Alligator mississippiensis: one gene and its partners. The protein of the gene in region 1 purifies or fractionates together with the protein of each later gene. This does not show direct contact. Links are inferred from orthologs where the notes say so. Each region holds a gene or a part of one and is shown in the gene's direction. Other genes may lie near its edges.

Region 1 (7,654 bases):
CCCAGCCTGACCCCTGGGCTTGTGCCAGCTGCTCCCTGGCCCCTGGACACCATGCTTCTGTGGTGCAGGCACATGTAGTCTCCAGCAGTCCCACAGGCTGTTGCGCATGAGCAGGAGACTGACTGGGAGGACTGTCCTTCCAGGACAGGCTCCATGCCCTTGAGGAGTGGGACACTGTCCTCCTCAAGAGGATGATGGAGGTTCAGGAGAGCAGGCCACCATGGTGGCCTGGGCAGTGGAGGTCACAAAGGAGGACCGTCAGGTGCCTGACACCATCTTGGCCCTGGCAGCCACCTTTGCACCACTCGCTGCCCAGCCGCCAGCTCCGGCTTTGCTTGCTTCCTGGTAGCCACCCACTGCCCAGCTGCTGGCCCTGACCCCAGCCCCGACCCTTGCTCCAGTCAGACCTGCTCCCTGGCAGCCAGCTGCAGTCACATGCCAAGCCCCACAGTGGGCCTGGGAGGAGGTCCAGTGGTGCCTGCAGTGGACAGGGCCCCCCACCCTGCTCCTGAGCCAGCTCCCCTCCCAGCCAGGCTGCCCATCTGGGCTGCTGCCCACCACTCACCTGCCTGCCATGTAGGTGTTTTATTGATGGTGGGTGTTGGGTGGGAGCTGTTGTTGGGGAGGGAGGGTGGGAAGGAGTGTGTTGTGGTAGAGAGAAATAAAGATTGTTGATTGAAAACTATACAGGATGCACGTGGTCTTGGGGGTGCGCTGTAGGCCTGAGGGCTGCAGGCAACCTCCCAGGTGCTCTCTTGCAGGGGGTTGGGGAGGAGGTGGTCCATGGGAGCCTTGCGAACATGGGGCCCTGTCTGCCGCTGCCAGGGGGAGGGTGGGGAGCGTCCATGGTGTACTCATCACAGGCTCCCAGAAGAGCATCCCTGGCCAGGCTGAGACTGCCTGCCATGAAGAACTCTGCCAGGCTGAGCCTACCCCCACCGGTCTGAGACCCCTGGCACCTGGGCAGCTAGATCGGGAGCCTGCAGCTCCCCCTGGCTACTGGAGGAGGTTAGAATAGGGCAGGAGCAGGCCTGGATCTGCTTAATCTTATAAGGAGCAAATCTACTCCCAACAGGGTGCATGTGTAGATGCCTTCCCAGGGCTGGTTTATTATGCAGTAAATTACCATGCACTAAGTCTAAATAGCATTAAATGCACGTGTAGACACAAAGCAGGGCAATGGGAAATCAGATGCTATTGTTGCTGTTCTAGTGTCACACACAGCTGCAAGTGCGCTGGTATTCTTGTTTCTATTCTACAGTCTGCTTTCTATTATGCTTTCAAAAAACCCCATTTTTTCTAATTTTTACAAGGTTTGCAAGGGCCAGTCAGAAAACAATTCCATTTCACAAAAAATATAAACGTTTTGAAATGTTGTTTTCATTCTGATGTGTAATGAAACTGAAACATTTTTTAGCAGGTGAGTCCCACATTGCAGCACTTCCTGAAATGAAGGAAACTCAAGTTCAGCTCCTTGCTCTGAATCAGACAGTGTCTCACATGTTAGCTGAGTGTTGTAACTGGGGGTTTTAACTGGGGTGAGCCACTGGTTACAGCACTTGCCTTGGTTGCAGAACTCAGGTTCAAGTGCCTCTGTTAAATCAACAAGACTAGGCAGTTGAACCTGGGCCTCTACTGTTTCACATGACGATTACCCATCCCTTCTGGGATAGTTCTTTGAAAGAAAGTCTATGCTGGCCCTGAGATCCTATACTTTTCTGCAAATCATTCAAGTTTTGATAAAACAATTTTTCTATGGGAAAAAGTTCAGTCTCCTCTAATCATCAACTCTACTGTGAGACCCTGCTTCCTGTGAGATTCTGAGTACACACTGGGTATCCTAAATGCCCGCTGACAGGAGATTGTAGATTCAGACCCTAGTTTTTCTATCCTTTCTAATCTTTAAAATTTTTGACTATAGTAATCCAATACAAAATTCCCTTTTCTTTTTCTCCTTCAAACTCAACCTGTGCTATAGTTTGCCCTTCCACCAGGTGGACTGGCTGGGAGATAGATGTCTCTTCTCTCTATTTTTTGACAAAAATTTTAAGAAGACAAAAGATTTTGGAGGTATTTGGAGTGAGATTTTAAGTTTAATTTTACAATATGAAAAATGTCCAGCATACCTACTGCCTAGGAAATGACCTGCTTGGTGGCATGGAAGCGGAAAGGGATCTTGGAGTCCTAGTGGACTCCAAGATGAACATGAGTTGTCAGTGTGACGAGAAGCCATCAGGAAAGCTAATGGCACTTTATCGTGCATCAGCAGATGCATGATGAACAGAACCAAGGAGATGATACTTCCCCTCTATCAGGCACTGGTCAGACCGCAGTTGGAATACTGCGTGCAATTTTGGGCACCGCACTTCAAGAGGGATGTGGATAACCTGGAGAGGATCCAGAGAAGGGCCATTCATGTGGTTACGGGCTTGCAGGCCAAGCCCTACGAGGAGAGACTAGAGAACCTGGGCCTCTTCAGCCTCCGCAAGAGAAGGTTGAGAGGCGACCTTGTGGCTGCCTATAAATTCATCATGGGGGCACAGAAGGGAATTGGTGAGGTTTTACTCACCAAGGCGCCCCTGGGGGTTACAAGAAAAAATGGCCATAAGCTAGCAGAGAGCAGATTTAGACTGGACATTAGGAGGAACTTCTTCACAGTTAGAGTGGCCAAAATCTGGAATGGGCTCCCAAGGGAGGTGGTGTTCTCCCCTACCCTGGGGGTCTTCAAGAGGAGGTTAAATAGGCATCTAGCTGGGGTCATCTAAACCCAGCACTCTTTCCTGCCTATGCAGGGGGTCGGACTCGATGATCTATTGAGGTCCCTTCTGACCCTAGCATCTATGAATCTATGAATAATGATGAATCTGCCATGGAGAAGGGTTGCTCTAAGAAGTAGCGTCTATAAGAGCTGGACACACCCTCACTTGAAGTGAAGCCAGAAGATGAGCAGAGAAGAATGAGAAGTAATCAGCTAGATCTCTGGCCTGACTTTGTGTAATTAGCGTCTGTATCTGACTACGAGGTTCAAATTGTGCAGGTGCCAATAAACATGATGCTTTATCATCTCACCTCATGTGAACATGGGATAATTTCAACCTAGCCCCATTGCTACAGGCTATGAAAGGAAGAAAGTTACAGCAATTAAGTATATTTTAAAAAAACCCATGACTGTGAGATTAAGCTTTTTGCTTGTGTTATGAAACATGTCATTTCCTTTACAGAAACTTCAGAAAGATCAGCTACAAAGCTCTGACAACTGGTGGAGGAACTGTGAGCACAAGCACAGCCCTTCATCACAAAAAAGAGATTCCTGAGTCCTCCTCTAGCCGAGTGAAGTGATATTATTACAGAAAGCCCCTGCTCAGAACAGCCTCTTTTCAAGGAGACTTGGGCCTGCATAATGGAGACTACTAGCACTACCAAGGAGGTTTGGAGGACAGCTTTTAGTTCTGAATGGTCTAAATCCAGTCTTCTAGGGCGCTTATGCGCGGGAAGCATGCTGCAACAGCACGTTGAAGCAGACTCTATTAACCGAGTCTGCCGGAGCACGTAAATTGATGAGTTCTGGCAGCGTTGTACGTCATGTGTATCAGCGGCGCAGCGTACCTTTGTGCTGAGAAAATGGCAGCAGTGCTCTTTGAACACGTTCAATATGCTTTAGTTCAAAGCACCCTGTCGTTTTTCTCAGCACAGGGATATCCTATGCCTCTGATATATGCAGCACGTGGGCATCTTTAATTAGCACAGCTTGCTCATTAAAAGCACCCAGCACCCCGTTGGGAGCACGTGTGAAAATGCCCAGCCAGTGCTGTTACATTTGGAGTAAAAAGCAGCTGGGGTTTCAGGCATCCTGCTCCTGTTTCTGCCTCCCTGATTTGAAGCTCAAACAGTCGCTGCAGATAGGCACTGTGAATTGGGGCTTAAATAGCATTTGACACCTGTGCCTGGCATGCTGCATTGCTGTGTACATGAGCAGCGGTAACCATGTTGCATAATCCTCAGCCTCCATCCAGCAAATTCTTACTCGCCTTTACTCACTACTGTCTGGTTGCCTGAGAGGTGAGGTGGGCCCAGGTTCGTTAGAGTAGGCACAGCATCTGTGGCATATTTGAACAGAGGTAACAGTCATAGCCACGGAGTGCTGCAGCTTGGGATGGCTGCCCCAGCCCTAACGCCCAAGATGAAGCCTGCAGAGCTGTGCTTAGTCAGACCTGGCAGGGGTGAACTAAAGGTGGCAAGAGCATGTCTAGCTATGAGCAACCATCCCCCTCGGGGCTGAGGAGACAAAGGCAGGTACTTTTGCAGCCCTGGGACGCGCACGCAGCACGCTATGCTCACGCATGCGCACTGCTGCGCCCAGGGCGAAAAAGGCGGAGGGAAGGAGCTAAGGGCGGAAGGACCTCGCCCCCTCCCAAGATCCAGAACGAGGTCTTTCCCCAGCACCTCAGAGCAGGAGCAGCGTTGCGGCCGCCGATTGGTGCGCCAGCAGGGCTCCGCCTTTTGATTGGCGGGTGGGCGCGGCTGCTGTTTCCTGATTGGCTGCGAGGGAGGGGTGGGATAGAGGAGGCGGTGCGAGCGGGGAGGAGCAGCACCGTGATTGGCTGGAGGGTGCCGGGCGGATATAAAAGGAGTGGCGCAGGGGCAGGAACACGCCAGTGCGCGTTTCTTCGCAGTGTAGTTAAGCTGCTTGGCGCGGGGGAACATGGCGGCGCTGAAGGCTGTGTGTGTGCTGCGCGGGGACGGGCCCGTGTCCGGCGTCGTCAATTTCGAGCAGAAGGCAAGGGCTGGACCCCGCGCTCCCACCCCGGGGCTGACGGCGGGTGTTACGTAAGCTGCGCGGGAGGTGATAGGTCAGGCTGGAAAGTGCTGAGTCATGCGAGGGGGTGGGCACGTGTGTCCGCGTTTCTCGCGATTTAACCCGGGCCGGGGTCCTGGGATCCCCGCTCTGCCTGGTGAGGGGTGGTAGGGGAGAAGAGGCAGCAGCTGGAGCCAGGAAAGAGCTGGGTGCTGGGGCTGGCCCCGCAGTCACTTGCTTTGATATTATATTGTTATTGATTAAAAAGTAATATGGTTAGTATTGCTATCAATCTGATGCTGCTGCCACTAATGCTAATAGCTGTGAGCCAGATCCAACCTAGGCAGTGGTGCCAGCCAGCCTACAGTAAGTGGCAGCAGTGCCAACTCTGCTCCCCTGTTGCCACAATTCTAAGCCTGCTGGGCTGGGTGGCAGGGTGGGCACTGCTCCCCTACACCCTTGCTTCAGTTTAGAGACTAGCACAATGCCTGAAGCCAGGGTGTGGAAAATTGTGGTCTCGGAGCTGTAGCAGCAGGTGGTCTGAGCAGCCTGTCAGTGCCTGATGTGCCTAGTCATGGGTGTGGAGCCGTCCTCCTCTGCCCCGGCTTGAAAGCAGTGAGCTGTGCGTAAGGGGTGTGGGGGAATGCTGCAGTAAGGTGCTGCTGCATGTGGTTTTGGATAGATAAGGCCAAAATGGGTTTTTAAGGGCTCTTAACTAAGATCCTTGTTGGGTTAAATCTAGGAGAGTGCGGAAGGGAAGTACAAACATGAGTTTGTCATTAGTGTGTTTAACTTGTGATGTATCTTGAAGAGTATACACATGGTGTACAAAGGTGTGGCCTTTGATAAAGGTCTTAGTGTTGCTGTGAAAGATGAGGGCTGACTAGCTAAGCTGCAGCTTCCTAGAAGAGGACCTAGGAGTTGGAGTGGATAATAAGCTGAATGAGGCAACACTGACCTTGTTGCAGAGAAGGCTAATGGTATACTAGGCTGTATTAGTAGGAGCATTGCCAGCAGATTGAGGGACGTGACTATTCTCCCTTTATTAGACTAACTCAAATAGAATAAAGATATCAGACTTGCCTGAAGAACCCTGTTCCCCTCTGTTTGGCACCGGTGAGGCTACATCTGGAATACTGTGTCCAGTTTTGGAGCCCCCACTACAGAAACGATGTGGATAAATTGGAGACAGTCCAGCGGAGGGCAGTGAAAATGGTGAGGGGGTTAGGGGTGTTCCTTGTATCTAACCTTAAGTTTCTCACCAGGAGGATAGTGAAGCAGTGGAACAGGTTACCCAAAGGTTGTAGACTCTACATTCTTGGAGGTTTTTAAGTCCCGAGTGGACAAAGCTTTGGCTGGGATCTAGTTGGGAATGGTCCTGTTTTGAGCAGGGGGTTGGACTACGTGACCTCCTTAAGTCCTTTCCAACCCAAATTTGCTATGATTCTGTGACACTGCAGTAGTTCTATAGAAGAAAATTTGGGTGGGGGGAACCCTCTGAGGTTATGGAAGTAAATGGGTCAAAAGGCAGCTGTGTGCACACTTGCAGTCTGAATCTTGATGCTAGAGTCATGTGTTCAGACCAGTGATTCTCGACCAGGATGCTGTGGCACCCTAGGGTGACTTGATCCTTTTGGAAGCTAGCACTGCTGGGTATGCAGACATGCTGTGCATGATAAATTCCCATTTGAAATCTCTGGGTTATAATATTAAACATTTGGACCTGTTCTGGTGCAAAGAACATGGGAAGACCACAAGAATTTTTTTTTTTTTTCTGTAGTAACCTCCCCCCCCCCCCCCCCCCCAAAAAAAAAAAAAAACCCAACAAAAAAACAAGAAGTTTTCCAAGGAGTCTAAAAAAAGCTTGAAAACTGGTTTAGATGGAATGAGTCTGCCTTGGGGGTGTGACAGCACACAACCATATACTGCATTAGCTGCAGTCCTATACAAACCACAGGACTGAAGAATGCATTCTCAATCAGGAAGTCTCAATCAAAGCTTTACTCCTTTGTATGCTTATTTACAATTCTGTAATGAGTTAATAACAAGCTAGAAATTTTATTTTCTTCTTTTTGTTTTGAAGGATAGTGGACCAGTAAAGCTGTCAGGAAGCATTCAAGGTTTGAGTGATGGAAAACATGGCTTCCATGTTCATGAATTTGGAGACAACACTAATGGTACAGTTTTCATCCAGGGTCTCAATGTAGCACTATCATAATGCAGTTTGGCTACTAGCTTATTGTATTTGATGCAGCCACTTTTATTTTTTGGACACTGGTTAATAGACAGCTGTGGTAATGCTTCTCACTTCAATCACATTCCTTTCATGCATAAAACCTATGTATGTAAAAACAAAGAAAGGAGTTGAAATGATCTCAGCATTGTCTTGCTGTTTACCAGCAGGAAGTGATGGCATAGATGGCAACATGTCTGAGCTACTGTTATTCCAGCATGCAGTTGTAAACCTGATGCGTGGGCCATAAGAGGCTGTTTAATACTATGGCTGTGGCACCTGCCAGCAAGTTAAGCTAAACACAAATGAGAACCTATTTCTTGGATAAACTCTAAATGGCTCCTTTCAAAACTTAAGTTAAGATTTGACTCTTGGTGGAGCTTGGCTTTTTCAATTGTGATCTAGGGCAGTGTGAAGAAGCTTGTGCAGCACAGCATAGTTTCGTAGTTGGTAGGGTTGGAAGGGACTTGAGCAGATAATCAAGTCCGACCCCCTGCCGTGGCAGGAAAAAGTACTGGGGTCAAATGACCCCAGCAAGGTGTTCATCCAGCCTCCTCTTAAAGACGCCCAGGGTAGGAGCCAGCACCACTTCTCTTGGAAGCTGGTTCCAGATCCTAGCCGCTGTG
Region 2 (7,366 bases), on another chromosome or scaffold:
ATGTGACCCGGCTGACCTGATCAGAACATTAAATGTCCTTTCACAGCATCTGATGAAGTGAGTTTCAGCCCACAAAAGCATGTGCTCTCCATACACACTTTAGGTAGTGTATCACAGGGGTGGGCAAAATGTGGCCCGCGGGCCGGATGTGGCCCGCCAGACCATTGTATCCAGCCCATGGGGCCCCTACAAAATTTAGAAAATCAATATTTATCTGCCCCGGCTGCTTGTCATGCGGCCCTCGATGGCTTGCCAAAACTCAGCAAGCGGCCCTCCACCCAAAAAAATTGCCCGCCCCAGTCTATAAGGTGCAAAGCTACTCTGCCTTATATTTGACTTCAGACCAGCAGAGCTATCTATGTCTCTCTAATCAGAACAGCCAGTCCAACAAGTACCCTTGGAAGCAAAGTAGTTGGAAGAGACTGGCAGCTGGTAGCAGGAAGAGACTCTATCTTTGCTTATGGATCAGGGTATGTCACAACTTCCGCAGCTCACACTGGCTCTGGCCATAGACTTTTTGGCATGTCAAGCAGAAGCTTTGAGTCCAGTAAGGCTTTACTCAGCTGTGGGCTGGGAACAGCTGATAGTGCAAGATGATCAAGTGAATCCTAGGGGGGAAAGTATTTCTCAGCGGCTTTGTCAATGGGGAGTGACTCGCACAAAACATCACATTCTTATTATACACCATGACAAGGGATCCCCACTGACTCCATAAAAAGCAAGCTATTAATTTCCAGAGCTGGGACTCTGCGCATTTTGTGCACAGTTCAACATCACATGCCTTTCAAGTGTTATCCCAGTAACAAGAAAGAGTAAGTACAGCTGAGTGAATCAGTATCATTGAAAAGTTATCTGATTATTGTGCTTGTCACAAAATGTCCTTGAATGGAGCACAGTTTCTTTGGAAGTATTTATCACATTATTTTGACAAACAGTTTTGATTCCATGGCATGTGATACTAAACTGTCCTGGGAGATCACTTGGCCCTTGAAATATGCTCCTTCAGAATTGCTGCCAAGTTGCAATTGGTTAGATAAATCAGGTGGTATTTTATAGGTGTCCTCTGTCTGTTTGATGCATGAGCCCACCATGAGTGCACATTTAAAATTAATTTATTATGAACACACACACACGATTTGGCTTCCAAATCAGCCTTCCACAAGCATTTGTTGCTTTTGGCTGTTGACGGATAGTGAACCCAAAAGAGATGCAAGTGCTGTTGATATTGATTTGTTCCAAAATCCAAATGCATTTCACAGAACTTGTTGAAGAATGTCTCAGGGATGTATGTGGTAGCCATGTTGGTCTGAGACAAAAAGAAATGCAAAGCTCTAAAACTCTTGGTTCAGAGATGATACCTTTTAACTAAGAAATTGCAAAAATATTATCTTTCTTTGTAAGCTTTCGGGCACATGTACCCTTCTTAATTTCTCCTTAGCCTAAAGAAGGTGCATGTACCCGAAAACTTCCAAAGAAAGATATTTTTTTTGCAATTTCTTAGTTGATCTAATAAAAGCTATAAGCTCTGAACTCCAAAGTTCAGGGTTTTGCATTTCGTTGTGAAGAATGTCTTGCATTCAGAAGCTTGTCTAACTATCCCAACTACAGTTGTTCCAATAAAAGATATCAACCTATGAAATTCTCACCTCTCAGAATTTATCATGGTTCATCAGACAAGGTTCTTTGGGTGAATCTGATATCTTTTATTAGGCCAACTTAAATAGTTGGGGGGGGAAAACATTTAAATAAGCTTTTGGGTTTAAAAACCCTTCATCAGGCTGAGGAAGTTTCAGCAGTTGGTGTGTGCTCTTCCTGGATGGCATGAAAAGTAAAGAAGCCAGAGGCTGGTCTGGTCTGCATGCAAGACAGACAGTCAGTGAAGATGTAAATTGAGGAGTCAGTGGGAGAGAGAGAGGCTGGGTTGGGGGGAGAGACCATGCTTCAATATTTGTTCCTCATCCATTTTTGTGTCTTTATTTCATAGAGAAGTAAGGCTGAAACAATGTACCAAAGTATTTTCTTTTGTCTCTTAGGGACAGTATGTGTACAGGCAACCCTCAACTTACAACGTTTCGAGTTACAACGTTTCGCACTTACAACTTTTAGAAATTGACACCCTGTTTCAACTTTCTGACCTCAGTTTCAACTTTACAATGCTTGATCCGATGCGACGCCATGCCAGTGAACAAGTTCAAGACTTCAGGAAAACCTTCAGCCAAGACTCCTGAGAACACTCCAGCTAAGAGCCCTTCAAAAAGTCCAGCAAAGTCACCTCAAAGAAGTCCTTCCGAATCAATATGATTACTATTTACAGTCTAAATACATTAATCTAGCTATATTATGCATCTATAATTGATTGAGTACAAAATTCTCGGTTATTTTTGGTGAAAATAGGGTATTGGGCCTTGGTTCAGGAACCAATCCCCCATTTATAACATTGCATCCTATGGAAAAATCGGTTTCAAGTTACAATGTTTCGACTTAAGACAGGGTTTTCAGGAACCAATTGTGTTGTAAGTCCAAGGACTGCCAGCAGTCCGTTTTAAGCATTACTATCAGCCCCATCTTGAAAACACACAGCGAGTACCAATAAGTATTTCAAATACCTATCCATTGCAAAATATATATTTTTAACTGGCTGCTCTTGTTCTCACTTACAGGACACAGGCCTCCTAATCCAAAGCAGACTGAAATGAAAAACTTCCCTTGGCCTAAATCCAGCATTTTTTACACATCCCAAATCCCCATTGCTAACAATGCAATGGTCTCTTATCTTCAAATACTTAGGCACGAGCAGTTTTGCAGAGCACGTGCTCCCCATTTGCTAACAAAGAACAGCTCCCCCCTTGTCTTCAGAGTGACCATTTGGAGAATGGAAACATAAACTGTTCAGGGCCATTTTCTTCAAAGACCTTTTCAATTACTTGGCAGTTTTTGTGTTGCCGAAAGAAGATGCTTGTATCTGATTTGTGTTTCTGTGATGCTGCATATTAAAGGGTTGGGTTGGCACATGAAAGGATGCTACATTCACTGAAGTTCTGGTGCATTCTCTGTGCAATATGAAAAAAACCTGCTTTTCAAAGCTCTCGTTATGAGCCAATGCAGCATGTCATCTCTAGACAGGCAGTTTAGTACACTCCTGAGGTGGGGAGGAGGGATTGAAACCTGGCAGCCACAGTGAAATTCCCCTTGCCCATCCCCCTCGCAGCCGCATTCCACCCACCAAAACCTTATGAAGGGCTAAATGGCACTGCACGTGTTAGCTGCACAGATCAGTGCCTTATCTTTTGACCCTAAGGCCTGCATTTCATAAGGGGATAATAGAAGTGCAAAAATTCTTGCCGGCGCCGTGACAAGCTAAACTCACTGAATCCTCGCCGCTTAGCACCTAGCTACATGTCTCCAGCACCCCCCTGCCTTTCTTCTCCACAACTGCTTGCCTACGCTTTGTCCTAGCCTCTTCCTTCATCTTTCCTGCAGCCAAAAAAGAGAAGGGAATGGGACTTGTTGCAATTTCCTGATTTCGTCCATGATAGTGTGGACCAAACTGTTGCTTTTCCAGTTTCCTGAGCAAAATGAAAACCCCGAACGACTTCATTTGGGCTTTTCTTCCATCTGAACCAAAGTGTCAGCTTTTGATTTCAGGGTCCTCACCCCAGTTTTTACTACGAGTAACTTTAGGTAAATTTTCTGAATGAAAATCATTCCAAAAGGCAAAATCCAAACAGAGAAACCTTTCCAATTTATTATTATTTGATTGTTATGAATTTCTGCCCGATGCTGGGCTGCATTTGGGGGATAGTTGCAAATCCATCTGGAGGCCCGAAAGGACCTTCCCCAGCAACTTCGTAGTCCCAGAAAGCCAGGCCTGGCTCCAGTCCCGCGGTGGGCTGCCCTGGGGGCTGCTCCTCCGCTTTACCCGGGGCATAACCCTGCTGGCAGCACCCGGCCGCCAACCAGAGGCACCCAAAAGCACCTCTTTTAAAAAGGGGGTTCGGATTTGCAGGCATAGGGCACCCCCGCTCTTTGGGGCGCTGCTAAACCTGAGGGGGCTTTGCTGTGTGCATAGATGTGTGTGTAGGGGTGTGCATGTTTGGGGGGACACAGGGGTTAACCCTTGGCGGCGCGGCCCGCACGCGGCGCGGGGTTTTTCCACGGCGCCTGCACGTCCCGCACGAGCGCAGGGGCGGGGCGGCGCCAGGCCCCGCTGGGCCAATGGGAGGCGGCCGCCGGAGCCGGACGGACCAATGGCGTGGCGGGCCGGGCGGCGCATCTGCATGGGGCGGGTATAGGCGCGCGGGCGGCCGCTCGGCCCACTCTCTGCGAGCTGCCGGCGGAGACGGTCGTGTCGGGTCGTGTCTGGGCGCTGCCACTGCTGCTGCTGGGTCCCGGTGCGTGCGGGCGGGCGGGCGGGCGGGCGGGCCGTGGGGTTGCAGGGAGCGGGGGGCGCTGCGTCTCTCCCCCGCCGCGCCCCGGGCAGCGGGCCGGGCCGGGCCGGGCCGGGCGGGAGCAGGACCAGGACCAGGGCTGTGCGCTGGGCAGGCGGCTTCCCTGCTCCCATCGTCGTCAGCCCCTTCCTCGGCCCTCCTCCTGCTTCCTAGTCCCCATCCTTCCGCTTCTTCCAGTACTTCTTCACCTTCTTCCTCTTCCCTCCTTCCATTTCCTAGTCCCATCCACCCGCCCCCCACCCCTGCATCTGCATCCTCCTCCTATTTCCCCCCTCTGCATCTTCCTCCTCCTCCTTGTTCCTCCTATTTCCCCCCTCTGCATCTTCCTCCTCCTCCTTGTTCCTCCTATTTCCCCCCTCTGCATCTTCCTCCTCCTCCTTGTTCCTCCTATTTCCCCCCTCTGCATCTTCCTCCTCCTCCTTGTTCCTCCTATTTCCCCCCTCTGCACTTTCTACTTCTTTTCCCTCTCTCCATTTCCTTATCCTCCCCCGTGCCCTGAATCCCTCCCTCCGTCCTGGGTTTCACTCCCCTGCCCGTGCAGGCACTGTTGGGTGCAGAGCCAGGGCAAGGGCCTGGTGTTGAAACCGGAGAGCAGAGCAGCCCTAGCAACCCCATTCTGGGCTGCTCCCCTGCCTCGCATACCAGCTCCTCATCTAATCTGGGCAGAGCTAGGGAGTGATTTGCAAGGCCTGCAGGCCCCTGGGTCATGCTGATATCGGCCAGGCCAGGCACGCTGTAGCAGTCAAGCACGTGCTCTTTGCAGTGGGAACTAGACCTCTAGAAACGGCCTCTTATGACTCAGCCGCAGTAATATATGCAGGTTACCTAAGTCCTCCTTTTCCTATGACGTTAGTAGTGCTGAGTAGGAGTGCACCTCCCTGTAGTGAGAACTGAGTCATGCTGTATCGATGGAAGGGAGCAGCTTTCAGGGTGCGTATTTGTGTGCTGTTCTGCAGCCTGCTTCCTCAAAGACTAGATAAAATGCCCCTCTTAATGATTAACGGCCCAAGTGACAGTTTGTCTTGGATACTGCTCAGTCCCCTGGACCTTCTCCTCTCTTGCGACAGTAGCTGCCCTTCAGCCCTGGTTCTCAAATATTGAGTGTATTGCTCGACCAATGTTCTCTGCTAGCGGCTGTCACTGAAATCTGACCATGAAAATAATGAAATGTCCCATTGCTTTTGGAACAGGGTGGGAGGTAATGGCTGTAACCTGATGGGACTCTCCACTGTCTTGATGCACTAGTGAAAAAATGGTGCAAAGTCTCCTTTTGACTGGCATTGGGTTGGTGCAGGTGGTCAGGAGAGGAATTTTAGTCATCCAGACTTTCCGTTAATGGCTACGCTGAGTCACAGGGCAGGGATGCAGGCTTTGAGCTGTGCAGGAAGGAAGCCCTTGTTTCGCTTCCAAAACCACAAATGGAGGCAATGCAGTCCCTGGCCTCCACTTGATTAAAAACATGGACTCCGAACAGTTGGGCATTTCCTGACTTCTGCATTCCCTGCCACACTGGGTGCCAAGCACGGTCCTAAGGGCTGTTGCATGGAAGGCATACAAATGAATGAGCCACGTGCTGTATGTCGAGAGGTGGGATCTGAAGGAGTCCTTGCTAAGGTCATACTCTGACTGCATCTTATCTTGTGGAAGCGATGTGTCAGGACCTCGCCCTGCTGCATTTGCTCATTACCTGGTGTAGGTGAGGTTGCAGACCTCCAGGAAATCCTGTTCAGCACCAAGTGGAAGTTCAAGCAAACTGCTGGTGGCTGTATAACAAAACCTGGGCCCTGCAGAGAGGCAGGACTCTGCCATGGACGTGCCCTTGCGCTTTGGACTGTTTCATCGTCCTCAGCAGCCTGTCATATTGAGCAGCAACGAGTGGCTGTGTCCATCTTAGACCATATTTCCTTACCAGAACAGGGGCGTTTGCATAATGACTTGGCAAGTGTGAGTTAGCCACAGAATCCTTCCCTTTTTTGGCAGTGAAGATGTGGCCTAAAAGTCTCTTCAATCTGTTTAATCCTGAGGTTGAAATTGGCTTAATTTCCCATGCCAGCTGCTTGTGTGATGTACTGTCCCCATACACCAGAATTTGGATGGGACATAAGACATCTGAGAGGCTTGATGCGACAGAATTCGGGATGCTGCAAGTCCCAGCCTAGCGTGTGTTCCCTGCCTGCCTTTTCCTGTCTTCCTAATAGGAGAATTGACCCTGCTCATAGATCAGGAGCAACTTAGTTGCTCAATGTTTCCCTCTTTTTTTGTAACTACCAAGATACAAAGCTGCAGCTGTGCAGACTTTATATTCATGGCTCCATCTCCAAGCACTGAATAGACTCCAGGAACATTTCTGCTTTCCAAATCCTTTTGTAGATGTTGGCTTCTAGAGTCTTTTCTCCCTGGCATGCAACCAGCAACATGAAGTCAGGCAGGCAGGAGCATAGCTGGGTTGAGGTGGCTCTTGTTCTCCTTTCCCCTTCGTGGCTGAGGTCGAGTGAATCGGAGCAGGAGGCACCTGAGCCATGTCGGGTCAGACTATCTGGCAGACGGCTCTGTGCAGTTGTGTAACGCTGCAGCGCTGGAAACTGCATGGCTGCTAAGGAAGGGGAGGGGCTTTGGGGAGGGCATTTTGTCAAGGACGTTGGAGCAATGTGCCTCCTTGTCCGGGACCTTATGAGATGGCCACAGTGAGGAATGCTTAGGAGAAATAGTCTCCTGCTTGTACAAGGGAGAAGTTCACTGCTCCATTTCCTTGTGAACTGACATCTCTCTTGGAAGGTGGGACATCATTTCTTTGATTGCACTGCAGCCCTGAAAATGAAAGCAAGATGCAGCCCATAGGAGAGCCTAATGAGCTCTGCTGTTTAAAAGCAGCCTCAGTTGGATTATAGGGATTTGGGCACAGGGAAAGGAAACGCTAC
Region 3 (7,133 bases), about 47 Mb from region 1:
GAGTCTATGCACCTGTTATATTACATTTGAGGCCCCCCTCAGAAAATGCCAGCTCTTTAACACACTTTTTTTGACTACAGAAAAATACCAGAGCAATTCTGTTGCAAAGAACTCAGAAACACTATAGCAGGCCAGAATGTTTTTAACACTATGGATTCCGATTTGAAATCTCTGAATTTATCTTGTGAACATGTTTGCACACCAAACAGTGCTAATATTATACAGCATCTTATGGCACCCTTGAAAGGATCTTGGGGCACCTCTGGGTGCCATGGCACCCTGGTTTGAGAATCACTGGTATAAAGAAAGGGACTCATGCAGGACACAACAGAGCCCACAGGTGTATCTGACCATTGTTTGGGGAGGGGGGGTCTTTAAAACAGACCTTATAAGTATGCCAAGTGCAGTGCAGGAATAGTTCTCTAGCTTGTGTAAAAGCACAAGAGTCAAAGATTCACAGAAAGATGTAGAAATGATACAACAGGAATGTTGATTCTGTTTACAAAAGGGGGATAGATATTTTCACTAACAAACAGATGTTAAGATCATTTTCATAGGTGTTGCTGCAGACACTATTGGGGGGGGAGGAGGTGCATTGTTCCTTGATGCACTTGGCTTGGTAAAGCATGGTTAAAGGAAGATGCTGCTGAAACTGTCAGCTCTGAGCTTTGAGATGGGTGTTTAAAGCAGAGCAAGAGGCCAAAGGAAAGGATGTATTTGTTTATTAGGCCAGAGGTAAGCCCTTTTGATGGAGTGGCTCATGGCTGTTTGTAAGGGGTATAAAAGAAATACAAGATGCCACTTTCTCTTCAAACTTTGTGCTGACACAAGTAAGCTACTGAATTACAGATTGATGGCACAAACCCAATTCTTTTGTGACCAAAGGTGAGACAGGCGTGTATCTTAGCCTGGTATTGTACTTTTTTGCCATATGACAGGGAGGGCATCGAGGCAGAGAGCATGTTCTGTGACCTGCACCCTGAGTCCATTTTTCCTAAAGCAGTTGCTTTTGTAGATGATGTTACAGTGATGATGACAACCTTGGGGGAAAAAAACCAAGCAACTCCCAAGTGTGTATGCCTACTGATGAAAACATCTCTGGGGCTTTGTAGTATGTTAAGAGTAAGACAGGCCCAGGTCATGGCTTTTAAAAACTAGTGGGAATCATTATGTCCACAGAGGTTGTGAAGCCTCTGGCTGAGGAAAGTCCAGTGTTCCTGGAGCCAACCTTTTTGGCAGGGATGGCACAAGATGAGCTCCACACCCTCCCCAAGTGCCACTCCCATCCCCTTCCCATACCCAATCTGCTGCTTTTGGTTGCTATTCTGTGGTCTGATTGGATGTCCTCTGCTCCCTGCCCAGTCTGTTATCTGCTGTGCACCACAAGAACCCTCTGTGCTGCTTGTGACATGCTTGACACAGGTTGGCCACCCCAGCCTAGAGAATCCAGATGGCAGGGGGAAAGCGGGGAATGTAACAGCCTGTTAGGCGATCCAGGCTGGTAGAGGATATGCTTGAGTAGCAGAAACAGGCACCTCAGGCCTGGTCATGTGTGGTATAGGTGCATGGTAGTCTCTAAACTACATCAGCAGTAGCAGATCCCACTGCTGTCACAGGACAACCATTCAGACATCCTTTGTGATAGCACAGGACAAACTGTCAGCACCTCTTATCCTAAGAACCTTTTGGGGGCTTTGTCCTGTGACATCTGAATGCTCACATTTTGTCGGGGGGGGGAATATTTTCTCTTGGGACAAGGGTGATGTCTGTTTGTAACTGAATGGTCAGGGTTTGGAGGAGGGGGTGAAAGCATCAGGCCCTAGTAGAAACCTGTGAATGACAGAACAATACAGTAAGTGATGTCTAGTGTGACAGCAACTACCTGTTTGCTCTAAAGAAAGGTGAGTGGATTGACATGGGGTATAAGATGAGAAGATGGGCCTGGAGGATATAACAATATCATCTATACATTTTTCGGAACCTTTTAGGGGAGGCAGGTGGACATAGGCCAGGGGGGTGGGGGGGAGATGGGCCTGGACCTGAAGGGGAAGTAGGGTGGAAACAGGCCCGGAGGCTTGGACAGGGGGGGCGGCATGCTTCCCTCATTCCCGGTCATTCTTGATGGGCAATTAGTTAATTGTATTATATCCATTTATCAAGTTTGTTTGCAAAGGAGCTGGCCATTGGTTTGTAATCAAGCTTTGAGTAGGGGACACAAAGTTTTTTTTAACAAAGGCATTTTGATACTACTGATGAAAAGGAAGAGACAGGTCACCCTGTGTAGGCCACTCATTCCATAATAGGTCCTCTAAAGTTTCACTGTGGAGTCTGGCACAAGCCCCACTTTCTCTGCTACATCTGGAACTGCCAAGCACAGTTAAAGGCTGACTTCTATTAGACTTGTTGGCTGATCAGAGGGTGGTTTTTAAAACAGGAGTCGGGGGCCAGTGAAGAGGCTTTGGGCAGAATCGTATTTCATGATGTGGGTGCTTAAGTGCCACTTACAGGCTGTTTTTCTGGTATCTGTCTTAAGTGCAGCACTAATTCACTTTTTTCAGAATTGAATGGCACTTACTTGGCTGTTTACTACTGCAGTACACATCAGCCAGGTAACTTGTACCCACAGCCACTAAGCATGCTCCTCCACAGAGATCCTAGTCATCTCTGGAAATGCACAGTGGCCATTTATACCCCGGAGCAAATCTGTCCTGTTCCTCTGGGCATCTAGTGGTTTTCCAAGACCAAATAGAAAAATAAATGTAATTATGCAAAAAGTACAACTAGCAGGATTCAGCTGCATTGGCAAGTGCTACTGCTTCTGCTGCATTACTTTGCAGCCAATTGAAACCTGGACCATAGATAAGGGGCCCTGGGATCCTGGAGCAGTACTAGGCTGGGGGTTGAGGGGGACTCTTAATGGAGGACTGTGTTGAGGCCAGAGAGAGGCCAAGGACATGCTCCTGCATCCTGTTGGTAGTGTTGGCTACCCAGCCCCCAGGATGCTTCAGCTCTGGCCACATTGCTGACCTCAACTACTTCAACAGCAATCATGCAGAGGGGGCCCAGGGCCAGGGTCCAGGAGCAGCCTCAGACCCATGTGTACCTGCCTCACCAAATTGTTGAGGAGCTGGCAGATGTCTGGAGTTGTAGGTGTGTCCAGAGGCAAATGTGGTGCACTAACCTTGCTGTTGAGGGCTATGGGCCAGCACAGCTAGAGGGCTCTGCGTTCTCTAGCAGGCTACATGCCCCCAACTTCTGGTAGCCTGCCTGTTGCCCACCAGGCTGGATAGAGATGCTCTAAGCTAGATCTGGCCCACGTGCTGCATGTTTGAAGCCCTTGACGTAGACCATGGCCACTGCTGGACACAGGTAAGGTTCCATGCACCTGACAAGCCTCCTAGTGAAAGCTCCCCTATGCCTCCTGGCCGCCCTGCTGAAGAAGCACCCTGCCCCACTGCCTTGGGTCCCTCCACTTCTGGAGAGACTCCTTGTTCCAGCCCCTGACCACCCCCTTGCTGCTTCCAGCTTCCACAGCAGGCAGGCGTGCTCCACCCCAGGTGGTCTGCAGTCCTGGGTCTCCTGAATGTCTCCAGGAGTTAGGCAGTAAAATCAGGTAGCTGAAAAAACCAACACAGCCCCCCCCCCCCAAAAAAAAAAAAAAGCTCTGTGTATAACGTGAGCAGAAGACAACACAGATTTGCACTGCCTAGTGATACTCGACCAGGGTGCTGGGCACCTAGGGGTGCCACAAGTGTCTTTTGAAGGGCCCCCTCAGCCCCCCGTGCTTCGTGGGCTAACTGCACCCTCTCCCCCATGTCCTGGTAGCCTGCCTATTGCCCAGCAGGGCTTCTTGGGCTATGACAACCTGTGAGGTGGGGCAGGCAATCATTCGTCACTGAGACCCAGGCAGAGGCAGGTGAGCGCACACGCACAAGGGCGGTGCAGGAACCTCGTGTCCCCCAAAGCAAGGAAGCGCGGGGCAGCGGGAGGGAACAGGATGCGCGGGGTCTTCCAGCGCGGACAGGGGCCGCTCTCTCCCCCTGGGAAACGCCCCGGGGGCGGGGCGTATGGAACGCGGGGCGGGGCTGCCCAGCCGGCCTATAAAAGCGCGGCAGTGGCGACTGCGCGGAGCTTTTGACCTTGCCTCGTCCTGAGCCGTCGTCCTACTTGCTCCGCTCCAGCTATGGCGCCCAGGAAGTTCTTCGTGGGGGGGAACTGGAAGATGAACGGCGACAAGAAGAGCCTGGGCGAGCTCATCCACACCCTCAACGGCGGCAAGATCCCCGCCGAGACCGGTGAGAGCCGCGCAGCGCGGCATCCCGGCCCTGCAGCCACTCGCGGGGCGGGTCTCCGCGCTGTGCCGCGCCGCACGTACGCCCTGGCTCGCCTCGGCCCACGTGACGCCGCCGCCGGCTGCTGCTTCCTCCCGGCCCCGGGGATGCTGTGGCGGCGCCCGTCCGGCTCACACGGGCTGGCGCTGCCCCATCGTGGGGCGGCTGGGCGGGGGTAGGTAGGGTTGGGCTGGAGCTACCCGCTCCTCTGCCTCGCCCTGGCTCTCTGCGGGACAGGACTTCCTAAGTTGGCACGTGGCTCGCCCAGGTCCCTGCTCTCCTGGGCTGGGGCTGGGGCTGGCCTCGCTTCCCTTCCCTTTAGGGCAGCAGCTCTCAAGCCTCTGAGACTCCAGGCTGCCCTTGCTGGGCTGCAGGCAGGCCTGAGGAAATTCCAGCTCTTGGCCTCTTCCATGTTTCCCAGTGGAAGAGGAGCAGGGCACGTCTGGTGGCAGAAGACTCCAAAACCCACAGGGCAAAATCGGTTTAGCACCACGGCTTCCTACTTGAAATCATTGGGAGTCACATTGGCATGCTCTAGAGCATGGCACGGCACCCTGAACCTACTTCAAGGCACCCCAGGGTGCTGTGGGAACCTGGCCAGGGATCACTGCTCTAGGACTTGACATTGCTTTGGTTCCAATGCTAATTGAGTTAAACCAGTACAGTTAAAACCAGGCTTAGTTATGTTGTTTCAGCTTTGTGCACATATCTGGCCTGGTCCTCCCTCCCAGCCCAGGCTTTGTGCTCCCTTACACAGGGCTTCTGCCCCCATCTCCCTGAGGGTTGCTTGATATCCTGTGTTCACAACTTTAGCTGGGCTCCTGCTCCTCCTCTTGGTGTCCTTGGGACATCTTGGCTCCAGGCCAGCAGGGGAAGAGCAGGACTCATGGAATCTTCCTTCTCTTTGGATGTCTGCCTCCTGCCTCCTCAGAAAGGGCTAGATGGGGCTGGGGGAGCTGTTATTCTGCGGGAGGCACCCTGAAGAAATGTCAAAGGGCTGTGAGGAGATGGAAGCCTAAATATAACCAATGGTGACTGGGCTAAAAATATCGGCTACTGTACTTGGTGTTGGAAACCAGATTCCCTCCCCCCTCTCCCCCTTCTAAAGGCCAGAGGGGAGGGGAGCTGGGGCAGCCCCTGGGGCTATTAGTTGCAGGTACTCTCCCTGAAACTATCACAACCCCCTCCTTTTTTGGAGAGGGCAGTGCTGAGTACTGTAGGCTTCCTTGCTGCTGCCTTCAAAGTGGGTGGCTGGCTGGGACTATAACGTCCCTGTTTGGGGTAGGCATCCTGTCTCATCCTGGTACACAGACTAGATGGCAGAGCTCCATATGTATGCAGATAGGCAGTGTTATAACATGGCTCCTGCACCCAGACTCTAAGCTCCATGCTTGCCTTGGTAGTGATTGAAGCCTGTGTGTTCAGTGGACAGGATCAGACCTGCCCAGTGGAAGAACCCCCTGCCCCTCCCTGTTTTGCATCTAATTTTTATGTTTTCCTTCACTTGGCAGCAGCATCCCTTCTGTCTCCACCTTTTCTGGCCTCCACTCGTGTGCAGGGAAGGTGAACACACTGTCTACAAGAGAGTGCTGCAGTGGTGGTTTCCCCAAGTTCAGTGTCCGAGAAGCATCAGCCGGACAGCTCTTTAGTTACTGTAGTGGGACAAGCTGTACTGTGTAGCTGTAGGGATAATTGAAGCTTCACTGGGATACATGTAGTTCAGGACTTGTAGCTCTACTCTTCAGGGACCTGAACAGTGGGGCTTCTGCTCCCTTTCATGGAGTAATGATTCCTTAAGATTCCCAGTCCCCTCAGTGTTGGGTAATGGTTCCTGACCACCTTTTTCCTGTCACTGTGTCTGTTCCCCCTTTATCTTGGCCTTCCTGGCTCCCAGTTACACTTATAATCCCCTGTGCAAGTCAGTGCTCCCCTCCTTACTCTCAATTCATCTAAACTATCTGCAGAAAGAAAAGAACAACTTTCAATTGGACAGTTCCCAGGGGTCCTTTGCTCTGATTTGGAAACCTGAAACATTGCATCATCCTGTTGTTGAGAGATGTGAGAAGTGGTTTCCTATGACAGTGTTCCCCCTAAGTTCTGTGAGCAAGGAAATCAAACTGCATCAGCAATAACCCTCCTGCTCTAGTGGGTCCTTGAAATTCAACAAAGCTGGCTTGTGATGGGTTGCTACAGCTTAACAGAGCTGAGAGATGGGTTGGAGTAGGGGTGAGCACCTGGGGGCAAGGGAAGTTCTACAACTGGAGGGTGGGTCAGATCTGACACCCTGCCTGCTCCCCATGAGGTTTACTCCATCTTTTATCTTTCAGAGGTGGTTTGTGGAGCCCCTTCCATCTACCTTGACTTCACCCGTCAGAAACTAGATGCAAAGATCGGGGTTGCAGCACAGAACTGTTACAAGGTGCCAAAGGGAGCATTCACAGGAGAGATTAGGTGAGCCTGCAGTCGCAGATGGAGCTGGTGGAACAGAAACTGAAACTTATTGCAACAGGTACCCATTTCAACACGGACCCCAAAACTAATGTTTCTCCTTTCTTCCCATTCAGCCCAGCCATGATTAAAGATGTTGGAGCTACCTGGGTTATCCTTGGCCACTCAGAGAGAAGGCATGTTTTTGGAGAGTCTGATGAGGTGAGTGATTTTTTTTTTTTTTTTTTGCAGGGTTGGGGCGAGGTGAAAACAAACTATCTTTTAACATCTTCATGGGCAGGGGGCTAGAGCTGCCCTAGAAGGTGAACACTGGGAGTGAGTCTGACCATAGCTCAAGCTTTCTTCCTTTCCTGT
Region 4 (7,643 bases), on another chromosome or scaffold:
GGCAGCATTGAGTACAGCTGCCCGGCCAGCAGCGCCTGCGAGATCACCAAGCGGCGCCGCAAGGCCTGTCAGGCCTGTCGCTTCACCAAGTGCCTGCGCGTTGGCATGCTCCGGGAAGGTAGGGGCTGCGGGATGGGGGTGAGGGGCACCGGCAGGGGTGGTGGGTCAGGTGTGGGGGGCTGGGGGAGCAGGAGCTGTGGCTCCCCCAGTGAGGACACTGGCAGCTCCAGTGCGGGGGTCCAGGCCACCGCCTGACCCCCTTGTTCTCCCCCCAGGAGTGCGGCTGGACCGGGTCCGGGGGGGGCGGCAGAAATACAAGCGCTGTTCAGAAGCTGACGGGACCCCCTACCTCAGTCCTCCTGCCCCCCCTGTCATCATGGCAGCCAGCAAGAAGTCCAGTGAGTGTGCACGGGTCTGGGGGGGGCTGCAGGTTGGGAGTGAGGGGTACCAGCAGGGCTGGGGGGGTAGGGGTCAGCGGTCACCCTGACCCCTCTTGCCCCCCCCCAGCCCCGCTTCCCACTCTGGTGTCCCACCTGCTGGCGGCTGAGCCCGAGCCCCTCCTGGCCATGCCTGACCCAGCACTGCCTGAGGGGCCCCCACGCGTGGCCACGGCCCTGTGCGACCTGGCAGATCGCGAGATCGTGGTCATCATCAGCTGGGCCAAGAACATCCCCGGTGAGACCTGACCCCTGCCCCCCTCCCCTGCCCCTCACTCCCAACCCGCACCATCCCCTAATGCTGCCCCCCATGCCCTCCAGGCTTTGCAGGGCTCTCCCTCCCAGACCAGATGAGTCTGCTGCAGGCAGCCTGGCTGGAGGTGCTGGTACTGGGTGTGGCCTGGCGCTCGTTGCCCGGGGGAGCTGGGCCCGACCCTCCCCCGCTGGTCTTCGCCCAGGACCTGGCGCTGGATGGGGCGGGGGCACGGGCGGCCGGGTTGGCCGAGTTGGGCGCTGCCCTGGCCCAGCTGTTGGCACGGTACCGGGCCCTGAGGCTGCAGCGTGAGGAATTCGTCTTGCTCAAGGCCCTGGCGCTGGCTAATGCTGGTGAGTTGTGGGGGACAAGGGGCTGCAGGTCAGGAGTGAGGGGCGCCACAGGCACGGGCCGTGGGTTAGGAATGAGGGGCACTGGCAGAGCTGGGAGGTGCTTGCAGAGCACCCCTGGGGCATGGGGACTGTGGGTCAGGAACGAGGGGGCACCGTGGGGCTGCAGGGGAACAGGCCCCCTGACTTCTGCCCTCTGTGCACAGACTCGGTGCACCTGGAAGATGGGGCGGGCGTGCAGCGGCTGCGGGACGGGCTGCTGGAAGCATTGGCGGCACTGGGGGGGGCGGGCCGTGCCGGGCGCTTGCTGCTGACGCTGCCCCTGCTGCGGCAGACAGCTGCCCGGGCCCTGCGGCACCTGCAGCGGCTGCAGCTTGGTGCCCGTGGTCCCCCCCACAAGCTCTTTCTTGAGATGCTGGAAGCCATGATGGACTGATGGATGGGGCCAGGCAGACCCACGTGCCCTTCCCCTCCTCCTCAGGGACCCCCAATGGATCTGGGGGCAGACAGATGGGACAGATGGGGGGGGGCAGGGGGGTGTGGCCAGACACACAGACAGCCCCACGGAGGCAGATGGACTGGACAGACGGGGATTGGGGTGGGGGGGTGAGGCGCACAGATCCATTGGACAGGAGCTGGACATTCAGATGGATTGAAGGCCAGACACGGATGCGCAGGGGTAGGGGTGATGGACGGACAGACTGGGGTGGAAAGTGGGGGATAGTGGATGGACACACGGGCAACTGGGTGGGAGCAGAGGCAAGACAGTTGGACTGGACCAGACCAGGGTGCACAGACAGACTGGACTGACAGAGGGATCCGGGGGCAAGACAGAAAGACAGCCTTAGGGCTGACCCATGGCCAGGCCACCCATCCCAGGTGGAGGCAGATGTGGGTGCATGGTCCACGGGTCCTTGTGTCCCTGGGGGGCTGGACAGAAGGACAGATTCTGTTGGGGGCAGGGCTGGGAAGCCAAGTCCCAAACCCCTGGAAGCCATAGACCCCTGATTCCCCCCCCCCCCACCAGTTCAGGGGGGCCTGAAGGGAGCTCAGCACTGGATGGGGGTCCCCCTCCTTAAAGCAATAAGTAGCCCTGGGCACTGTTGGCAGGGGGGAGATAGGGCTGATCTCCCCTGGGGACCCCAGGACTGCCCCCCTATCCCCAGCTTGGGGAGGGTCTCAGGGACCCCCCCCCCCAAAGCAATAACCCTTCTGTACATAGCAATAGCCCCATCTGGGCTGAGGGGGTCATCCCCATGTCCCCTCCCACCAGGGCTTGGGGGTGGGGCCTGGGTTAATTTATGGAGATGTACATATGCTAAATACCTCGGGGGCGGTGGCGGGCTCCCCCCCCCCCCGCCCCAATAAAGCGTGGAGATCTCGGACACCCCTGGTCGCTGTGTCTTCATTGGGGGGGCTCCGGGTTGGAAGTGGAGGCAGGGACAGTACATCACAGCTCTCCACTTCAACCCAACCGAGCTTTATTGATGCAAACAGACATAGTCCAGCCCAACCCCCACACAAACCCACCCCGTCCTGCCCCCCCTTGCCCCCGCCCCAGTCCTTCAGGTCTCCTCCTCAGCCAGCAGCATGTTAGGGATCCCCTTGGTGATGGGGAACTCGTGCCCCGAGTCTGGGCAGCGCAGGATGCCTTCCACCACCTCCACCTGTGGGTAAGGGAGAGGTCAGGCAGGGCTGGAGTCTTCCCAGGCAGGAGACCAGCTTCCCCCCCCCCCCCCCCTCGGCATCCACAGCAGTCTGGGGGAGATGGGTTACATGTGTGGGGGAAGGATTTCGGGGTGACACCCCTGGTGTTGGCGGGGGTTACCCCTGTTCCCGCAGCAAGCTGAGGAGGGGGATCTGGGAGGGGCTGTCAACCCCAGGGGTAAGGGGGAGGCAGGGTGCTCAGGCACCCCTGGGGGAGGGGGTGTCTGGGGGAGTCTAGCGGTCTGTAGGGGGTGGGGGAGGGTATAGGGGCCCATGGGGGGGCCCTGTGTGTGGGGTGCAGGAGGGGGCATTAGGAGTCCATGGGGGTGCTCAGGGGTTTCCAAGTGTCCCTGTGACAGTCTGTGGTGGTGGGGGAGAGGGCACGGGAAGTCAGGGGAGGGTGCTGAGGGCCGTGGTGCCATAGAGGTGGTGTGGGGGCCCATGGGTGGTCTGGGGCAGCTTAGGGACCAGTGGGGGATGTCTTGGGGGTTTCCAGGGTCCATGCGAGAGTCTGCATGGGGTGGGCAAATGGGGGCACCTATGTGCGGGGAAGGGTGGCGGGGGCATCGGGGACCTCACCTCCAGCAGGACGTGGTGCAGACGCCGCAGGAAGTCCTCGTCGCTCTCGTAGCCGGGGGCGGGCTCGGGGGGCAGGTCAGAGCCATGCCCCAGCTGGGGGGAGAGGGGGGAGGAGTCACCCGCAGGGGGAGGGGCCAGCCCTGAGTAACCACGCCCACCCCACTGCCCTATGTCCCCTTCATTGCCTGGTCCCAGCCCCTCCCACCTTAAGCCCCGCCCCTCACTCACGCTCTGGGCCGCCTGCAGCAGCGCCGCCCACTGCACCTTGGGCACCATCCGCGCCACGAACTGCGCGTTGAAGTCCACGGGGCTCAGCTTCACTTCCGTGGCCTAAAAGGGGACGGGGTCATTCGGGCTGGGGGCGGCAATAGGCCATGCGGGGGCGGGGCCTTGACACGAGGGAGGGGCTTGGGGATCCCCATGGGCGCCTGGGGGGCGGGGCTACGGGGGCGTACACTTCGCGGGAAGTGCCCCCGCGCAGAAGAGGACGGGGCCGGCCACGTGTGGGGCGGGGGCGGGGGCGGGGCACGTGGGGGTAGTGCTAGATCACGGGAGGCCTCGCAGTGAGCACGTGGGGGCGGGGCTACGGGGGTCCAGGTGGAGGGAAGGAGCGTCCGTGGCCACGTGGGAGGCGGGAAGGGGCGGGTGACGGCACCTGGATGCCCAGCGGGTAGCCGCCGCCGGGCCGCAAGCCGCGCACGTGCGACGTTAGCAGGTTGTGCGTCAGGAGCTTCATCCTCCCGCAGCGCCGCCGACTCCGCTCCCGCCGGAAGCCGGGTGACTGCCGGTCCAGGCGTCTTGTGTGTCCGTTAGACACCACTTCCGGCCGTGGTGTGCTATTCGGGAGGGTCCGGCTGGGAAACCCAAATCCCAAGAAAGAAGCTTCCGGCACGCTCTGGTTCCGGCGTCTTCCCGTTAGAGTAGGCGAATACTCTAGCGGGGCGGGGGGGAGGGAGAGATATGCAAACGATATGTAAATCGTATGCAAATTAATCAAAACGTGTGTGGGCGGGTTGAAAGTCCACCCCTCCCGCCCTTTGCACCATATGCAAATGAGATGCAAACCAGCCGTGGTGAAATATCGTCCCCTCATTTCCTCACGCGCGAGCCAGTTATATCAATCAGCTGTGATTGAAACCCTCCTCCCTGCCCCCCCGCCGCGTGCCGATCAGCTGTGATTGAGTAGCCCCTCGCATGCAAATGAGATGCAAATCAGCCGCGACTGGCTGCGCCTTGACCGGGGGGGTGGGGGGCGTGAAGTGATCTCTCTCCGTGGGAGTTGTCACTCAGGGCGTTGTCATGGCAGCGGGGGGCGGGGGGTTGCCGCAGGCGGGGCCCCCCCCAGGCCCAGGCCCAGGTCCAGGTCCGGCCCAAACTGACCGGCTGGAGGAGCGCGAGGAGCTGCCATGGCGCCCATCCAGGTGAGGGCAGCCGGGCCCCCTGTTCCGTGCATGGCCCCCCGGTGCAGCCCCCTCCCTCCCCCGGGTCCCTGGAGTTGGGGGGGCAAGATGGTGGGTGGGGGGGGTCAGTGACCGACCCCCCCCAGGTCCTGCGGCATCCAGGGGCGAGGGGGGGCTGGGCACAACCAGGCGGGGTCTGGTCAGGCCATGGGGGAAGGGGGGGCATAGATGGGGTGGGGGGCTATGGGGGGATCTGGGGTCTTTTGAGGCCCCACAGCTGCACAGAGTGGAGGTCGGAGGCATGTGGGCACTGGAGGGTCTCCTGGCATGGGAGCTGGAGGGGGGGAAGGGATGTGGAGGGGGGCCCTGGGGCACAGACTGTGCTGGGGGCAGGGCTCTGTCTCTGTGTGGGGGGGGGGTGTTCCTGGCAATGCTGGGCAGGGCGGGGCGGGGCGGGGGCGTTGTGCAATTCACTGGGAAACTCCAGGGAGCGGCTGAGGTGCTGCCCGGTGCGGGGGGCGGGGGGGGATGTGACTGCTTCCCCTTGGCAGCCCCAGCCCCCCCTGATTCCCATAGTGGATTTCAGAGCTGTTGGGGGGGGGTCCTGGCTGTGCTGGGACCCCCCCATACCTCCCCCTTCCCCCCCAGGTAGGAGACCGCCTGCCCAGCGTGGAGGTGTTCGAGGGGGACCCTGACACCAAGGTGAACCTGGCCACGCTCTTCCAGGGCAAGAAGGGTGTCCTCTTTGGGGTGCCCGGCGCCTTCACCCCTGGCTGCAGCAAGGTCAGAGCCCCACTGGACCCCCCACAGCGCTGATCTGCCCTAGTCCCCCTCTACAGCCTTGGTTACTCCCCCATACCCCCCAACACCCCCCAGACCCCACCCAATACCTTCCTGGTCCCTCTTAGGTTCCCCCATGCCCTTCCCTGCCCCCCGCAGCTCCCTCTATTTTCCACTGCCCCCTGGAAATCCCCTGTAACGTCCTTTGCTCCCCCCACCCACCAACACACCAAGTCAAGCTTGCAAAGTGTTGTGGGGGCTGGGATAGGCTTCCCCTTATATCCCTGGGCCCCGTGGGGTCAGGACTGGGGCTGGTGGGCACTGTCTCTGGGGGGTCCCTGATGCCCCCATGTGTGCCCCCCCACCCCAGACACACTTGCCAGGGTTTGTGGCAGAGGCCAAGGAGCTGCAGGGCCGAGGCGTGGACCTGGTCGCCTGCCTGGCCGTCAACGATGTCTTTGTGGTCAGCGAGTGGGGCAAAGCTCTTGGCACCCAGGGCAAGGTGAGGGGGCCTCAGGGGATGATGGAGGGCTGAGGGGGGGGGCAGCATTAGGGGTGGGCGGTGTTTTGGAGGTGAGGGAACTGAGGCAGGGGTGGGGGTGGCCTTGGAGGGGAGGGGGGTTGGAGTCCGTGGGGTGAGGAGGGCATGGGGGGCAGGATGGGGGGTTGTGTGGAGCAGGGACGGGGCAGCTGACTGGGGGCTGGGGCAGGGGAGTGTGGTGGTGGCAAGCCAGTGGCAGGGGCAGAGAGAGGATTTTTCCCTGCCCTTGCCCAATTCCACTGCCCCTCCCACCCCTGCCTGGGGCAGTTGACTCAACTTCCTGGGCCACCCCCATTCTTGGCAGCCCTGGTTTGCGTAACAAGGGGTTGTGTAACCATGTGGGGACTGTTTCTGCCCCCACCACACTAATCCTCTTTCCCCTCCCCCCCCAGGTGCGGATGCTGGCTGACCCCACCGGGGCCTTTGGGAAGGTAAGGGGGGTGTGGGTTGGAGTGAGGTGCACTGGCAGAGTTGGGGGTGGCAGGGGAGCAGAGGGCTGCAGGTCAGGAATGAGGGGTACTGGCTGAGCGGGGTTGGCAGGGGCTGTGGGCCAGGAGTAAGGGACACCGGCAGGGGGCTGTGGTGTGGGAGTGAGAGGCACCTGGGAGGGGGGCATCAGGCCAGGATTGGGTTCCTCCCTTCCCCTGCTGAGCCCCCCTCTTTCCTGCTCCCAGGCCACTGACCTGCTGTTGAACCAGGACCCGCTGCGCCAGCTTTTTGGGAATGACCGCCTCAAAAGGTGAGGTGCCCCCAAAACAAGTCCCCCTTATACATGTGCCTGCAGCCCCCCTTCCCAGCATGCAGCATGGCCGCTGGTGGCAGCTGGGAAGGGGGGTGATAGGAGAACACAGGGTGGGACCCCAAGGTCTGTAGGGTCCCCTTAACTGCTTTGGGGTCCCCAAGTTTTGAGGGTCCTTGTGGGGGGTTCCCAATAGCAGGGGGGGATAAGGGGGTTGTTGAAGGTTTAGGGGATCTTTGGGAGGTGGGGGTGCTTTGGGGGGTTGGGGAAGGGTCTGGGGAACCCCCCTCAGCCCTGACCCCCGATATCCCCATAGATTCTCGATGGTGGTGGAAGACGGGGTGGTGAAAGTCCTCAACGTGGAAGCCGACGGCACCGGACTCACCTGCAGCCTGGCTAGCAACCTCCTCTCCCAGCTGTGAGGGACCAGGCGTCTGGGCCCCCCACCCCATACTCCCAGTTTTGACCCAAGAGCCCCATTGAGACAAGGGGTAGGGGCACATCTTGCTGCTGCAGCTCCTGATTTGGGCCTGTAGGGGGTGCACAGGCTCCACCCCCAAGCTCTGGCCCCGCCCCTGCTGCTGAGGCCCCGCCTCCTGCACCCCCACTTTGCTGGAATAAATGGCTCTGTTCAGCTCAACCTGTGTGTGCATGATTGGGGGCCGTGCCCCGAGATGGGGGTATAGGGCTGTGGTGGGGTAGGGGGCTCTGGATTGCCCCAAGCTGGGCTCAGGGGGTACCAGGTGCTGTCCAGACCCCCCAGGCCAGGATCAAGGGCGTGCTGTCCAGGCACCCCAGGCTGGAATGGGGTGGGGGGAGTGCTGGGCACTGTCCAGACCTCCCCCAGGTTGGGATTG

What was found.
Region 2: the proteins of SOD1 (region 1) and ENO1 fractionate together in Homo sapiens (co-fractionation; 3 studies listed by BioGRID, with this or other methods). This does not show direct contact. The link is inferred for Alligator mississippiensis from reciprocal best matches to the Homo sapiens genes SOD1 and ENO1.
Region 3: the proteins of SOD1 (region 1) and TPI1 purify together in Homo sapiens (affinity purification with mass spectrometry; 3 studies listed by BioGRID, with this or other methods). This does not show direct contact. The link is inferred for Alligator mississippiensis from reciprocal best matches to the Homo sapiens genes SOD1 and TPI1.
Region 4: the proteins of SOD1 (region 1) and PRDX5 fractionate together in Homo sapiens (co-fractionation; 3 studies listed by BioGRID and IntAct, with this or other methods). This does not show direct contact. The link is inferred for Alligator mississippiensis from reciprocal best matches to the Homo sapiens genes SOD1 and PRDX5.

Annotation. Positions count from the first base shown.
Region 1 is NC_081824.1:290,747,616-290,755,269, forward strand, and holds the start of SOD1 (superoxide dismutase [Cu-Zn]), read left to right. Parts: upstream 1-4,644; 5' UTR 4,645-4,702; coding exon 4,703-4,777; intron 4,778-6,878; coding exon 6,879-6,972; intron 6,973-7,654. UniProt on the Homo sapiens protein: Destroys radicals which are normally produced within the cells and which are toxic to biological systems.
Region 2 is NC_081836.1:10,361,258-10,368,623, reverse strand, and holds the start of ENO1 (enolase 1, (alpha)), read left to right. Parts: upstream 1-4,352; 5' UTR 4,353-4,391; intron 4,392-7,366. UniProt on the Homo sapiens protein: Glycolytic enzyme the catalyzes the conversion of 2-phosphoglycerate to phosphoenolpyruvate. In addition to glycolysis, involved in various processes such as growth control, hypoxia tolerance and allergic responses.
Region 3 is NC_081824.1:244,003,909-244,011,041, forward strand, and holds the start of TPI1 (triosephosphate isomerase), read left to right. Parts: upstream 1-4,123; 5' UTR 4,124-4,183; coding exon 4,184-4,295; intron 4,296-6,658; coding exon 6,659-6,782; intron 6,783-6,895; coding exon 6,896-6,980; intron 6,981-7,133. UniProt on the Homo sapiens protein: Triosephosphate isomerase is an extremely efficient metabolic enzyme that catalyzes the interconversion between dihydroxyacetone phosphate (DHAP) and D-glyceraldehyde-3-phosphate (G3P) in glycolysis and gluconeogenesis.
Region 4 is NC_081838.1:4,440,007-4,447,649, forward strand, and holds PRDX5 (peroxiredoxin-5, mitochondrial), read left to right. Parts: upstream 1-4,639; 5' UTR 4,640-4,732; coding exon 4,733-4,747; intron 4,748-5,374; coding exon 5,375-5,509; intron 5,510-5,876; coding exon 5,877-6,008; intron 6,009-6,439; coding exon 6,440-6,478; intron 6,479-6,721; coding exon 6,722-6,786; intron 6,787-7,102; coding exon 7,103-7,208; 3' UTR 7,209-7,426; downstream 7,427-7,643. Other genes in the region: ESRRA (steroid hormone receptor ERR1), read left to right, coding at 2-118, 276-398, 508-675, 759-1,043, 1,247-1,476; TRMT112 (multifunctional methyltransferase subunit TRM112-like protein), read right to left, coding at 2,606-2,707, 3,327-3,419, 3,555-3,656, 3,982-4,062. UniProt on the Homo sapiens protein: Thiol-specific peroxidase that catalyzes the reduction of hydrogen peroxide and organic hydroperoxides to water and alcohols, respectively.